3 linked regions of the Saccharomyces cerevisiae S288C genome follow. Changing the gene in region 1 together with any one later gene gives a genetic interaction. Each region holds a gene or a part of one and is shown in the gene's direction. Other genes may lie near its edges.

Region 1 (7,406 bases):
AAACATAAGCTTAAAATTGGAGCTGTTCTGTGCACATGTAATATGATACCTATATTGGCATTTGTTACACTTCACTAACCCACCTCCATTTATCCTGCACACACCACATGTAAATCTACTATGTTTAATAAGCACAGCAGTGGTATTAAGGGCAGGTTGCATTGATTGTCCGTTTCCATATTTGATATCTTCATTGAAAAGTGAGCAAACCAAATGCACCCATGTCCCTAAGCTCGTGCATTTCAATGCGTCTGGACATATTTTAAATGATTGGCTCCTATATCTATCATAGTCATAGTCCTTCGTAGGACACATACTACATTGGTAGGTCGTTGATATTATAGGATTGAGGTCATTTGAACAAGGGTCACATAACCATTTAAATGTCTTAAGGTTAGTGTTTTTCTTCATATCTTTCGGCAGTTTAATAGCATAACAGAAGTAGTGTACTGTAAGTCCACAATTACCACATACTACCTCATAGTTGTCATTGTCGTTAAATTTTTCTTTGCAGACACTACAAAAAGTCCTTGCGCTATTATTTGCCCATGCTGTATCAGGATTTTTTGGTTTATTCTTAGTGTGTTTCAAAATCATGTCTTTCTCTAACATTTTGCTCGGTTTATTACCATCATGGTATTTTTCAAGGGCGACAGAAGTTTCCTTAGAATGTGAAATAACTGTATAATTGTACGATGCCCCGTTTGGTTCGTTTAACGGATTACTTAACGCTATGTCATTGATCATTTTGATCTTCTTCGTTGAAGGTTCATTATATTTTGGCAGCTTATTATTCACTAACTTTAAGCTATTCCGTAATCGCTGAAATGTTTTGTTATCAAATTTGACAAATTTAAAACCTTTATCTACAGACACTGAACCAGAAGAACTGCCGCCTGTTTTAATTGAAATTTCTATCAAATCATTCGAAGCATTAGTGATTTTAGGAATATTGTTATTACTAGCCTTCTCGATAAATACATCGTTGCACTTGCGATTTCGGCTTGTATCACTTGTTTTGATAGTACCAGGTGATTGTCGAATTATGTTCACGGGAAATTCGTCCTTTGTGTTTTTCGCTCTTTCTGGCTTTTGTTCAGGGATGGCTTTTCTTACCTCTTTGTTGTCCTCTATAAATAGCTCAAGATCTCGTTGCATCGTCTCCGGGTGAAACTCATTCTTTCGATATGATCTCACAGCCATTTTGTAGAGTTGCGTGTGGAATGTCATGGAATACCGCTTCATTTTCACAAATGAATTTGGGTTCTTGTAAACTTTCATTCTTTGCCTGATAATTAGCTCTGAATCCTGAACAAGTTCCCATTCTAGTAGTTTATTATGAGCTTGAAAGGGAGATAACGTAAACTTGTTTGTGTTATTCTCCTCTATAATCCCTTCTATCGCTGAATAAAAACTATTCTGACAGGTTCCCGTTATTTTTCTCAATGTTTCAAGCGGTGGTACCCACTTAATTGCGTATCTTCGCCACATACGAGCACAACGAATGCAAAGAGCGCCAAGTTTTTCATTCTTTTTGCTATGGGCAGGCGATTTCTCTGAAATTTCTGTTTTTTCGTTGACTCCTGTCTGCATTCTTATCTTGATCTTTTCATCATCTGAACCTCCAGTAACTCTATACCACATCGGGGAGTAATCTGTTTTACAAAACATGCATTGGAAGGAGGATTCTGCTAAAGAGAGTTTCTCAGTATCAAAAGAAGAATCATCTATATACTTTGTCTCTACGTCATTTTCATGATTAGCGATTTCTTTTTTTCTTTTATTCTTTGATAACTTACTCAATTTCCCTCTCACGGTAAGGCCTCTTTCAGTCTTTTTCCAATTGTAATAAAATCTAACAATCATCGACATAGGTTGAGTGCCCACATACTCACACACTGGGCGTAATTCACTCCCAAATTTCTCGACAGCTTCCTCAAACTTTCGGATCTCCACGGCGGTAAAACTTGGCTCTTTCAAAAATTTTCTGGAAAGCTCCCTTTTACATTTTTTAAATGCCTCTGCTGTATCATAATTTGTAAATAATAAATTCTTTAGGACTACATCAATGAAATTACAAGTCTCACCTCTCACATTGAGAATAGGGCATATTTCGCTTTTGCATTGTTCAATATATTCACTCAATTTTCGAGTAGTAATTTTTGATGCATCAAGTACCCATGCTAGTTCCGAAGTTTTCGTTGAGCCTCGCTCTTCTTCTGAATTTGCACTTATATACGAGTTCCGCCTCCAGGGCACATTATGATTACATCCGTTCCATTGATACTTCACTCCTACCCTAGAGGGTTTGAAAGGATATGGAAAAAACATAGAATCATTTAATGCGTCACCAATATGAGAAATGGAATATATTCCTAAGTATTGAAACCAGCAATTTTCGGTATTATAACCAACATTCTCTTTGATAGCTTTGCTAGAAATTTCTTCAATTTTTTGTCTTACAGAGCGAATAAAATCCAGTTCCAGTGCTTGTTCTTCTAGAAACCTAACATGCGAGTCCTTAGTACCTTGTTGTTTCTGTAAGCAACTGAAGCAGGTCCAAACGACGTCTTTGTTCGGCTTCCTGTCAAGTGGCGGATCCATACAGTATAGATGTGCACAAACGCCGCATTCATCACATGAAAGGCTCTCCTTTTGGATACACCATTCTTTACAGAACTGACATCTTTTATCCCATTGGTAGTCTGCAGGACTTAATTCGTTTACCTCTAGTTCATGGAAAACGTATTTCTTCAAAACGTTCTCCAATGGATACTTCGGTTCTGTATAGATATAACGAAATCTCCTATTCAAAACATAAAGAAATGGCGACTTACTGTTCCATTTATTTAATATTTTATCCGTGCTGTAAACTTTGTAATATTTCAAAGTATATCTGTCAAAAAGTTCATCAAAGTAAAAGATATTGGGTCGTATAATGCATTCCTTCTCATTAGGAAGAACATCAAAAACTTCGTCTTTATGAAATATACTACATTTTCCCCTGTATGATGAAATAGGACATATGTCCTGGTGTAATGATGCATACACCAACCTTGGGTTAAAAGTATTTACGTGCTCTTGAATATCCCTAGGACGATAAAACCAATTCATTCTAACTTGAAAAAATTTAGCAGGGAAGACCGATGTTGTCTTTATAGCTTCATGAATAGTGTTAGAAAATTCTGGTTTACTAACAAAATTTACAACTCTGCCAACATAATAAGGCTCGCCAGCAGGCTCTGATATCATATAAATAGTGTCGTTCGCAGATAAAAGGACAGATTCTGTATTGAAAAGAGACATCTTTTTCAAGTCAATCATGGCATCATCTAGATCAAGTATGTTAGAGAATCTGCTATTCTTTCTGAACGAAGGGGGTAATGTAGGGATAAAGTTCCAGCAAGTATTCTTATCATGAAGGAATTTTTGGTACTTGAATTTCTCGTTTCTACTAGCTGGATTGCTTGTCCTTTTACAATTCCTGGGAGTTTGGCTATTGCTACCCTTGGTCTTAGCACCACTTTTTTCCGCTATTTGTATTTGTTGAACTAATTTAGTATCTATTTCCATTTCATTATAATTCACGTTTTTAGCAGCCTCTCTTCTTCTAGGTAATTGGAAATCTTCTTCTTTAGGCATAGCGTGACCAGCTGAAAGGCAGATGATCTCAATATGTCCCGATAGGCCAATTTTGCCACCAGATAGTTCGATGGCATTTTATTTTTAGTCCTTTTGAAAGCAATATCATAAAATATATATAGTTCTCCATGATGTTCGGGTCAGTCGCTCCGAAGCGTAACCTAGTATAATAAATAGTTCATTGCAGAAAATAACGAAAGAAATGGTGGAATACGATCTGTTATATCTAAACTAAAGCTAACTAACGGAATAAGCAAATACGAATCGACCGCTAATTTAACAAATATGGTTTTAGCAATGGAAAGTAGAGTGGCACCGGAAATTCCTGGGCTCATTCAACCTGGGAATGTCACGCAAGACTTGAAGATGATGGTCTGTAAATTATTGAATTCCCCAAAACCTACGAAAACATTCCCTGGTTCCCAGCCTGTGTCCTTTCAGCATTCTGATGTGGAAGAGAAGCTGCTTGCGCATGATTACTACGTTTGTGAGAAAACAGATGGTCTGCGGGTGTTGATGTTTATAGTGATAAATCCTGTGACGGGTGAGCAAGGATGCTTTATGATTGATAGGGAAAATAACTATTATCTGGTTAATGGATTTAGGTTTCCCAGATTACCCCAAAAGAAGAAAGAAGAGCTGCTAGAGACTCTTCAAGATGGCACCTTATTAGATGGTGAACTTGTCATACAAACTAACCCAATGACAAAATTACAAGAGTTGCGTTATTTAATGTTCGATTGTCTTGCTATCAATGGTAGATGTCTCACACAATCACCAACAAGTTCTAGACTAGCCCACCTTGGAAAAGAATTTTTTAAACCATACTTCGATTTAAGAGCAGCGTACCCTAATCGTTGTACTACTTTTCCGTTCAAAATTTCCATGAAACATATGGATTTCAGTTACCAATTAGTAAAAGTTGCTAAAAGTTTAGATAAACTACCACATCTTTCTGATGGTCTGATATTTACTCCTGTGAAGGCACCTTACACTGCCGGCGGAAAAGATTCATTGTTATTAAAATGGAAGCCAGAACAAGAAAACACCGTGGACTTCAAATTGATTTTAGATATCCCAATGGTGGAGGATCCTTCTTTGCCTAAAGATGATCGGAACAGGTGGTATTACAATTATGACGTTAAGCCAGTTTTCAGCTTATATGTCTGGCAAGGCGGAGCTGATGTCAATTCACGTTTAAAACATTTCGACCAGCCTTTCGATAGGAAGGAATTTGAAATATTAGAAAGAACATACAGAAAATTTGCAGAGTTGAGCGTTTCAGATGAGGAATGGCAAAATTTGAAGAACCTAGAACAGCCATTAAATGGTAGAATAGTAGAGTGCGCAAAAAACCAAGAGACTGGGGCGTGGGAAATGTTAAGATTCAGGGATGATAAGTTAAATGGTAATCATACATCGGTGGTCCAGAAAGTTTTGGAGAGTATCAACGATTCAGTTTCATTGGAGGACCTCGAGGAAATTGTTGGTGATATTAAAAGGTGCTGGGACGAGAGAAGAGCAAATATGGCTGGTGGTAGTGGGAGACCACTACCGTCTCAAAGTCAAAATGCGACATTATCTACCTCTAAGCCAGTCCATTCACAGCCCCCAAGTAATGATAAGGAGCCAAAATATGTAGACGAGGATGATTGGTCGGATTAGGCTAAGAAGTGTTCGTATCGACATATATCGGTGTAAGAATTTTGTGTATGAATAAGATAGAAAAGCAAAAGCAATTGCTTTTGCTAAATTAATTCAGTTAGTTATCTATTTATATGTACATGAGAAATGGGAGAATTTTGAGAAGCGAGGGTGAAAGTGTTATATACGCATATACATGTATATATATGCGCATGCTTATCACCTATGGGAAAGGACTAAACTTTTCAATAATTCTCTTGGGTTACCGTTACCACTTAGGAAATATTTTTCGTCAATCAAGTTCTCCCACTTTTTTCCTGTGATATCCTTGTCTAATAAAACATTTGATTGTTTGTAGTAATCGATTAGTTCGTTAACTTCCTGTTTGTTCAGTTTAGGAACCTCGAATTCGGTGACATTACCTTTTTGGAGCAATTCTACGAACTTCGGTTCATAGTGATATCTAGTAACATAGGGGTCTACTGGGATCTTGCCCAATGCCACGGGTAAAGTTTTGTTTGTCCTGTCAACGCCGGATATAGCTAATATAGTAGAACTCTCACCATTAGCAAATTTCGTCTCTCCTGAAATAATGTCCATCATCAATTTACCCATTTGTAAATCCAGGGAATATATTTGTTTATTCTCTGTATTTCTGTACGCAGAATATGCAGTAGTTAACACTTTTGAAAAATTATCCACTGTAAACATGATTGGCACCTTGGATTGGACAGATAACTCATCAATAATGGCTTTCATTAGTTTTCCACGATTATGCGGGTGGGTCATTACGGATAACAAATCTAAAACTGTATTTTTCGTTTTGTTTAATGTGACAAATGGTTTTACAGAGGCATTCTTTGGGTTTGCATTCGAGAACTTGTAGTCTTTGGATAGCTCAATAGATTTTAACAATGCAGGGTCATTTGCCTTCAATATTTTCCTTATAAGCTTTTTCAAATACATCGGTTGGATGAAAAGCTTTAAATCATCATCATAAGAAAAGTCATTCCTACCGTTCAGGAATAATTCAGGATATGATATGTTAATAATGATTTGCTTGGAATCAACTGCATATGCATGCGCTTGAGAGAGTAGTACAGTTTTCCCGACCCCTGGCTCTCCAGTGATTATAAATTTTTTAACAGGATGAGATACTAGTTTCTTCAAAAAGCTATTCGTTGCATCTTCACGAACTAGACAAACCGGTTTTTGAAAAAGTTCATTGAACTGCGACTTCTTGAAGGAACCCAAATGGTGAAGGGATTTGTACTGTTTGTTGGAATATGATACTACTTTATTCAAAGTCTTGGAAATATCATCAAAGTTGAAGATAGGTAATGCCAAAGGAACGGCGGTCTGTTGTAATTGAGCGGTGTGCGTGGTGTTTGTCCAGTTTTTATACAATGAACCAGGAGTAACTCTCTTTGCAGATGAGTAAGATGAGACTGAAGATGATTTTTTGGAAAATCCTTGAGTTTTACCTTTTGGTGCCGGTTTAGCAGCCTGGAGAGATCGTGCCGTAGTGAACAGCCTTTGCCCAATGAATCTTGAAGTTGACATACGTAGCATTATTCTGATACGTATACCACGTGGCTTGTACTTGTTCTCTTGTTAATGTTTTCCCTCGAAGTATAGAAGTTGATGTATATATACAATATACATATATATATATTCTTGTACATAGTACTTGCTGAGTTTCCTTTTCTTTTTCTTCCGTTTTGTAAGAAAGCCCCGGAAAATATAGTGTTCCATAGGATAAAGAAAAACAGGCATACATATGTGCAAGCTAGTCGAGTAGGATAGGTTCATTAGAGACCAGTCTTGCAATATCGTCATTCAGTTCCGTCTCCAAATTAAAATCAGAGTAGTAATGTAGCGGGATCAAGGGCGAAATATCCTTGACCGTGGGTATGAGGTTCCCACTTGACCAGTTTCGGAATACGTGCTGCGCTGTGATGGGAGTATCGAATACAGTATATATGATGATTGAATCATCCTTCGAGTAGTTGTTTCTTTCAGAGAAGTAGATGTCGTAGATTTCATTAGCACTTAGCGTGATGAATACTTGATTGCGCAAATGAGATAAGCAGTTTGATTTATTATTTGATTGCAGGAAG
Region 2 (3,252 bases), on another chromosome or scaffold:
GACCTGGTGGGACAAAACAAGGAATCGAGGTTTAATGGCCCCGGATCTGTTCCATGGGATTTTGTGGAGGCACCTTCCCAAATGTTAGAATTTTGGACTTGGAATAAGAATGAATTAATCAACCTCTCATCACATTACAAAACGGGCGAAAAAATTCCAGAATCTTTGATCAATTCATTGATCAAAACTAAACACGTAAATGGTGCTTTATTCACTCTAAGACAATTACATTTTGGGTTATTTGATATGAAAGTACATACTTGTAAAGACTTGCAAAACCTGTCAATTTGCGATACCTGGAACCAATTGAGACAGGATATTTCTTTGATTTCTAATGGTGGTACGTTATCCAAGGGTTATGATTCATTTGGCCATATAATGTCAGACTCTTACTCTGCCGGTTATTACGGTTATCTATGGGCGGAAGTCTTTGCAACTGATATGTATCACACCAAATTCGCTAAGGATCCGTTAAATGCCAAGAATGGGATACAATACCGTGATATTGTGTTGGCTCGTGGTGGCCTTTATGATATTAATGATAATCTGAAAGAATTTTTGGGTAGGGAACCTTCTAAGGATGCTTTCTTGAAGGAGCTGGGCTTACAGAACTAAATTCGTTCAAGCATAAAATTATACAATTATTCTACAAAGTGTTATTATGTTAGATAATCTTTTAAATAACCTCGTCCCTGGATAGATTAAAACCATTAAATAGCTCAAATCTTGGAGTAAAGCAGCAGTAATATGTCTGATATGTTCGTTATATTTTTTCTTGAAGTTTATCAACTTATCCTTTACTAGACCATTTCCCTCCCCATCCAATCGTTGATCGATTTTAAATTTCACCTTGCATAATTTTATTAATTTCCATACACATTTTATCACTGAAATGCACGAGTAACACAGCCAAACTTTCCGTAATAGCCCACTTACATATAACTTATCGTTGACCACGCCTAGGTTTTCCAATACTGCGAAGAAATCAAGCAGCGAACTTACACCACTCCATATATTCTCCCATATATCTTTTGCACTGATTTCAGCCGTATTTTTCTTCGAAACCATTCAACTTTCTTTTCTTCTTCCTTTACTTTTATTCATCTCCTCTTTACTTCTTACCTCAGAGTCGAACATTGAAATCATTTCCCGCGAATTTTTCGATTATAATTACCCTTTCTACTTAACAAGAAGCAATAAGAGCAAAGGGGCGAAATGCTTGTCCCATACTTTGGCTTTTGGATGTGACATTAGGAGCCTTATCTCCTCTTAATGCCTTAAGTCAAAAAATAGTTTTTGGGATATATCTTGTGATCAAATGCTTTGCAAAAGGGTAAAACAGCGTTTACAATAGGATAGCCAAAAGTAAAAAAAAAAAAAAAAAAAAAAAGAAGGAAGTTAGTATCGAGCTCAAACAATTTTAGTTTTGCTGGACATATTTTCAGTTTCATTACTGTATATTTGCAGCTTGGTTTTTGTCGCTCTGTAGTCTTGTTTCACACTTCGTCATTTCCGAGTTTCATCTTGCGACATAACTTGTTTCAACTTTTCAAGTGCGACTTTTTGTTAAATATTATGACATAGAAGAAAGTAGAACAGCCATTATAAAACAAAAGAGAAGTGAGAATACTATTAAGATGGCATTCCAAGATCCAACTTACGACCAGAATAAAAGCAGACACATCAACAACAGTCACTTGCAAGGGCCAAACCAGGAAACAATAGAAATGAAATCTAAACACGTATCATTCAAACCCTCTAGAGACTTCCATACAAACGATTACTCGAATAACTACATTCATGGGAAGTCGCTACCGCAACAGCATGTTACTAATATTGAGAATAGGGTTGATGGCTATCCAAAACTTCAGAAATTATTTCAGGCGAAAGCTAAACAAATAAATCAATTTGCCACTACGCCATTTGGGTGTAAAATCGGAATAGATTCCATTGTTCCAACGTTGAATCACTGGATACAGAACGAAAATTTGACTTTCGACGTGGTGATGATTGGCTGCTTAACAGAAAATCAGTTTATTTACCCAATTTTAACCCAATTGCCATTGGATAGATTGATCTCCAAACCAGGTTTCCTGTTCATCTGGGCCAATTCTCAAAAAATCAATGAACTTACTAAACTTTTGAATAATGAAATATGGGCTAAAAAGTTTAGAAGAAGTGAAGAATTGGTTTTTGTTCCTATTGACAAGAAATCACCGTTTTATCCAGGTTTAGATCAGGACGATGAAACGTTGATGGAAAAAATGCAATGGCACTGTTGGATGTGTATCACAGGTACAGTAAGGAGGTCTACAGATGGACATCTTATTCATTGTAACGTAGACACTGACTTGAGTATCGAAACGAAGGACACCACTAATGGTGCTGTACCATCCCATTTGTATCGTATTGCAGAAAACTTCTCTACCGCGACTAGACGATTACATATTATTCCTGCAAGGACTGGTTACGAGACACCCGTCAAAGTAAGACCTGGCTGGGTTATAGTGAGCCCAGATGTTATGTTGGATAACTTCTCACCCAAGAGATATAAAGAAGAGATAGCTAATTTAGGTTCGAATATCCCATTAAAAAATGAGATTGAGCTGTTAAGACCAAGAAGTCCAGTACAAAAAGCACAATAAAGCATCAACACATAAATCCTTGCTTAGCTCAATTAAATATACTAGTAAATAAGTATATAAACAATAATTTTGCATTTTATTTTACTGGAAACTCTTCTCAAAACCAAATTGCGCAAGGATTGATTCAGTACAATTATGCAAACTCGAAAAGTAAATAAACAAAAAGATACAGTTGAGTGAAAGGTAAATAAACATTATTCTACTTGATTTTCCTCTGTTTTTTCCATTTTTCTTTTTTGTCTTTTCGTGTTCTAGCGTGTTCACTTTTTCAGCCATGTAATTACTTAAATAGGAAGTTTACACGATGTTCTCGCATAAAAAGCTGGAAGTGCAGAACAAAGAGGAAGAAAATAGGAACAGAGAATTTGTTTGTTTATTTGTTTGTTTGCTTGTTTGTTTGTTTGTTTTGATTTGAAGTCGAGGTACTTATTCGAAATAATTATTTTGCCCAGGGTTTTGGATAGTTTTTTGTTTTCCAATTAGATTTTTAGAAATATTTTATCATAGTTTTTTGTTTATTTATTTGTTTATTTATTTGTTGATTTGTTTATTTATTTGTTGGTTTGTTTATTTAAGTTTGTAAATGTTTAATAAACAAAACAATATT
Region 3 (4,977 bases), on another chromosome or scaffold:
GCGATGATTATGATAATCATGTGGCAAATACTATTAATTCTGTGAGAGACATAGAGACACTAGATGACGGTGTTGTTACAATGAAAAAAGATAAACACACGAAGGAATTGACGGATTATGAAGTTCAAGAAAGGATTATCACTTTGAGTGATTGGTATACCAATTGGAATTTGGACATTTTAAACGACAAGGTTTTGTCATCTACCGGGGGTACAGATCCCAAATTTGATGGATCATTAATAAATGGAAAATCATCTGACGGTGAAACTATCAAAATAGGATTTAACACCGAGTATCTTCTTTTGAGAATCGTAAACTCAGGAATGTCTGGTACTCAAGTCTTTCACCTTGATGGATTCCAATTAATTGTTCTAGAAGCCGACGGGATTATGATTAAACCGTTCATTGTACAAACGATAAATTTAGCGGTCGGACAAAGATATACAATTTTGGTCAAACTAAAGTCTGACACTAGTTTTATTCGTATGATTAATGGCTGTAACAAAATGATGGGTTATATAACAAAACAGTGGTGGTTTTACAAAGAAGGCGCTCATTTGGACCTACCAAAGAACCCCAATGACGTTTCCATCGAACACTTGCCTGGTTTCACTAAGGCCGAGCTTTATCGCGACATAGAACCAACGCAAGAAGAGAATAAAAAGTTACGCACAAAGGCTGATCCTGTTGCAGTTTTCGAATTCGATTATGCTTATTACAAAGATGAAAGCACGAAACAAAAGTATGGGACTGGGATGTATAAGGTGAACGAACGGACATTCAGCGAGTACGTAAAAGACCCGGTAAGGTTCGGATTCAACGAAACATATGATATTGTAATCAACTCACTGGACCACATGAGACACCCATGGCATATGCATGGCCATCACTTCCAGATAATATCTCTTGGCAATAAAGGTGATGGCCCATTTCACAAAGACGTACAAGAGGGCAAGGCATGGAGCCGCTATCAGAACGATTTACGTCACCTGGCCCGAACCGGAAAGGCACCGATGGTAAGGGATAGCATTAACATTGCAGGAAATTCTTACGCGGTTTTGAGAATTAACACCGAGATGCCCGGAAAATGGCTTTTACATTGTCATGTGGAGTGGCACATGATGAAGGGGCTTGGCATTGTCTTTGAGGTTCCGACAACAACCGAGGACAGTACCAAACAAGCAACTACAGCTGTATTATCGTACCCTACCAAGGAACCTGACCCTAACACTGTTGTCCATACAGCCGCACTTGAACAAAATAAGTCCAAGGTAATAGCCGTCTACATCCTAATCATGTGTGCGGTTGATGCTATCTTCTACTGGTTGCTCATGTAATCACATCCATTTCTCCCAACTCATTGCTTTTTTTCGCTTTTCCCACAGCCGTTTACAAGGCCGCAAAAAAGAAAACCCGCAAAGCTGACGGAAAAAGTATCGGCTAGCTTTCCATTGGCGACAATCGCCTCCGAGTGCGAAAACCTGTATTTCTCTGACTGCCGTAGGTCATATAGGATTGGGTCATAACGGTTTTTTGGAGACGAATCCTTCCCCTAATCGTGTTGGATAACATTACGGATCCGTGTTTTAGCTAAAGGAACAAAACAAAAATAAATAAAGGATAAGAAGAAGGATTCACTGATAATTAAGAGCTGTATTTTTCATTGGTTCGGCAGTTAGAAACAGAGATAGCATCAGTTCGAGTGTTCTTTGATATAGTAAACAGCGTATATAGAAAAGAATAAAGTGTATTGAAAGGCTCAAGAGAATTATAGAGAAAAAAACGAAGGATAAATCAAAAAAAGCGGTGTCTGATACAGTGCTCAATAGAAATACAGTTGCAAAATGGACCTCCCAACTGTTAATAGCACAACAAGCATTTCCGACAATGTGGATTTAAAGAACTACTATGAGGACTTGCTTTTCAAGAATAACAGCGGAAAATCGCTATCCGATTTACCCCGTAAACTGAATGATAACTCCAATAATTCAGGAAGTGATACGGTTGATCCGCTTGCTGGCCTGAATAATTTGAGAAACTCAATAAAAAGTGCGGGAAATGGTATGGAAAACAGGAGGACTTTTGACGATATTGATTTTATGGGTAGGTTTCCGTATTTGCCACCAGTGCCAAATCAACAACAGCAACCGTTTTCTCACCAGAACGGGTTCATTCAAGAACACCCTTCCAGTAATTTGACCTCTTTTCAAATGTCTTCGTCTAATTCAGAGCCGATGTCCGCACCGCCCATTTCATCCAATAACAATAATTTAAACTCTACTCAAATGGGTAATTATCAAGCTCAACAACGGTCGTTCCCGCAATTTAATGGAAATTCATTTCATTCAAATGGAAACGACCTAATGGGGAATCGGATGGATTCAGACTACATGCGTTTAATGAATAAAACAAACATAGGTTTTACTTCCAATAGCGGCAGCAATTTTGCTGCCCCATCACACAGTGCTGGCAACCCATCTAGTATGAACAACCAACAAGTACCATCATTTAATTGGCAACAGCCATCTCATCCAGAGTCTACCATTAGGAGATCCTCCTACATATCAGATACTCTAATCAACCATCAAATGCCTGACGCTCGGCAAAAGCAAACATCCCAAGTGCAGCAGCAACACGCTCAAGGTTTCAATCTTTTCAATAGCAGATTCAACTATGACAACTTGAACTCAACCCATTTGACCGCCAAAGGTGTGCCCGAGTTTGGAAATGGTGTACAACCTCCGTATCCTTATGATAACGAGCCTAATAATGCCAGTATCAGCAATAGTAATAACAACAACAACAGTCACAATATGGTTCCAATGCAACAGTTTCGCCGGAATACACAACCGGTAGCGAGCTTCAATCCATCCCTTCCTACTTTTCAACAACAACAGCAACAACCACAACAACCACAACAACCAAGAAACGTTAATGTACCTACTTCTTTCAATGGCGAACGTGTTGATGATGTTCAGCTTGTTCAACTTCAAAGAAGCAGTTCTGTCCCTTCTTCTACAAACTCACATAACCTTCAGAACGAGAACAGCAATGAAGGAAATGTATCTTTGGACAATGGTTTAGTTTTAATTCAGGGTAAACACTTGACTTCGTCCAAAACCTTACACGATTTATACAGCGACTGTGGCAGCGGCTATTTTGCTAGCTCTGCAGTTTTTGAATTCACAGATAATATTAAGAAAATGCTGAAGTTGCACGATTCTAATGAAAGTTACGACGCGAAGAACATGGGCTTAATCGATGAAGAAGGTAATACATACCAATCTTTATTAAATTTCTTGGACATTTTAAGAAGTTGCAACATGAATTACGTTAATGATCCAGAGTCGAATAATGGAATTGTTTCCAATAATGGAGGCAATAAAAATAGGAGGAAGGGCTCTTTCACAACAGAACTATCATGCAGGAATGCTAATAACTCCTTTTTACCTTATACACCATTGGTACTGGTTGCTTTGAAAAATGGGAAACTTGAACTACTATCTACTCCACAAGCTACCAATTTGTTGTTAAAGAGAGGTGACTTGGTTATTATTGATGGTGACCGTGGAAGGGATTTAGTATTGGTTGTTGAGCCCTCTGTCGATTTGAATTTAGCATTATTTATAAATTTTCTGAAAAAGAAAATTCACTTTGACTCTTTAATTACAAGTGAGTCACAGCACTATCGCAATGATGAGTTTATTCAAATGTTGATTGACTCAAAAAATGGGCAAAAGAAAAAATTAAATCCCAAATTGTATGATGTTGTTGAATTAACTGAGTTAATCATACCATCTAAACAAGTCTTACGTTTTGCCACCCCGTGGGAGGTAACAACGAATTTGCACAATAAATTTGAAGATGAATTAAAAGCCTTGCATATTGCTCAGAGTAAATTACAAGCGTTAAATGATAATTCAAAATCTCAAAATACAAATGACAGTTCTTCCAATAATTTTACGAATGCTGCAACTTATTCAAAGCCTAAATTGAATATCAAGATTTTAAACGCAGAATTCCAATTTGATAGAAAGAAATTAACGTTTTACTACGTTTGTGAGGAGAGAAATGATTTTAGAGACTTGATAAAAGAGCTGTTCAAATATTACAAGACAAGAATTTGGTTGTGTGCCATCCCGAATAATCTGTCTATTGATTCTAAGTATTATGATAAACAACAAAAAGAGCTGAAATTATATCAAAACATAGTAAAAAATTACAATGCTGAAGATTTAATGAATGTCAATGAGTTTTCGCAGAACAGGGGGAATAACAGAGTTAATTTTGCACCTCCGTTGAACGAAATTGAACTCGACAACTTTCAGATTGCTGTGTATGAAGAATTAGTTCACGAATTATTTCATTAAATGATCTGTTATTTCCTTGTTGTAACTATAAATTTTCTAAAAGAAAAGACAACCATTTGCCATTATTTTGTTAACATTTTTTCATTGTTTTTGTTTTTGTTTGTTTTTGTTTTTGTTTTTATTTTTGTCTACTTTTTTTATGTTATTTTGTTTTATCGTTTCTGTTCGTTGTTTACCTATTTTCCTGCCAATTCAATTTGGTACTATCTTTCTATTATCAATATTTTCTTTCCCTTATGTTTTTTTCTATATGAAAACTTCACAGGGAGAAATAGAAGAAAATGTTCATTATTCTGTTTAACTTTGATAAAAATTACTTATACGTCTCCCAATCATGGTTTCATGGTCACTGGTAAGGAAAAATTCGAAAAACTACGGGACTAAAAATTTTTTAAAGATTGTCCATATTCCTCGATCCACACTTTCAAGTTTGAGATTTATTGTTGGCAACTTTCTTACATTTTTGTTGTTTCAACTTCTATTTTATATTCTAACAGCCGCTTCCATTTATTTTTCATAGGCTTTATATAAAAAACAAAAAATAATGGAATCAACCAACCCTTATAAACTTATATGTAGTTTACATTTAATCAAGGTCTGTTATCGT

Evidence for each region. A genetic interaction does not mean that the proteins touch.
Region 2: mutations in CEG1 (region 1) and KAR4 together harm fitness more than expected from each alone (negative genetic interaction), as found in Saccharomyces cerevisiae (2 studies listed by BioGRID).
Region 3: mutations in CEG1 (region 1) and PSP1 together harm fitness more than expected from each alone (negative genetic interaction), as found in Saccharomyces cerevisiae (2 studies listed by BioGRID).

Annotation. Positions count from the first base shown.
Region 1 is NC_001139.9:262,218-269,623, forward strand, and holds CEG1 (mRNA guanylyltransferase), read left to right. Parts: upstream 1-3,927; coding exon 3,928-5,307; downstream 5,308-7,406. Other genes in the region: DNA-binding E3 ubiquitin-protein ligase SNT2, read right to left, coding at 1-3,642; mitochondrial 37S ribosomal protein mS29 RSM23, read right to left, coding at 5,506-6,858; U2-type spliceosomal complex subunit CWC23, read right to left, coding at 7,076-7,406. UniProt on the Saccharomyces cerevisiae protein: Second step of mRNA capping. Transfer of the GMP moiety of GTP to the 5'-diphosphate terminus of RNA via a covalent enzyme-GMP reaction intermediate.
Region 2 is NC_001135.5:26,292-29,543, forward strand, and holds KAR4 (Kar4p), read left to right. Parts: upstream 1-1,637; coding exon 1,638-2,645; downstream 2,646-3,252. Other genes in the region: PRD1 (metalloendopeptidase), read left to right, coding at 1-615; PEX34 (Pex34p), read right to left, coding at 634-1,068. UniProt on the Saccharomyces cerevisiae protein: Component of the MIS complex, a complex that mediates N6-methyladenosine (m6A) methylation of meiotic mRNAs and is required for initiation of meiosis, progression through the meiotic divisions and sporulation.
Region 3 is NC_001136.10:1,456,088-1,461,064, reverse strand, and holds PSP1 (Psp1p), read left to right. Parts: upstream 1-1,844; coding exon 1,845-4,370; downstream 4,371-4,977. Other genes in the region: GMC1 (putative oxidoreductase), read left to right, coding at 1-1,337; SPG3 (Spg3p), read left to right, coding at 4,371-4,754. UniProt on the Saccharomyces cerevisiae protein: DNA polymerase alpha mutation suppressor.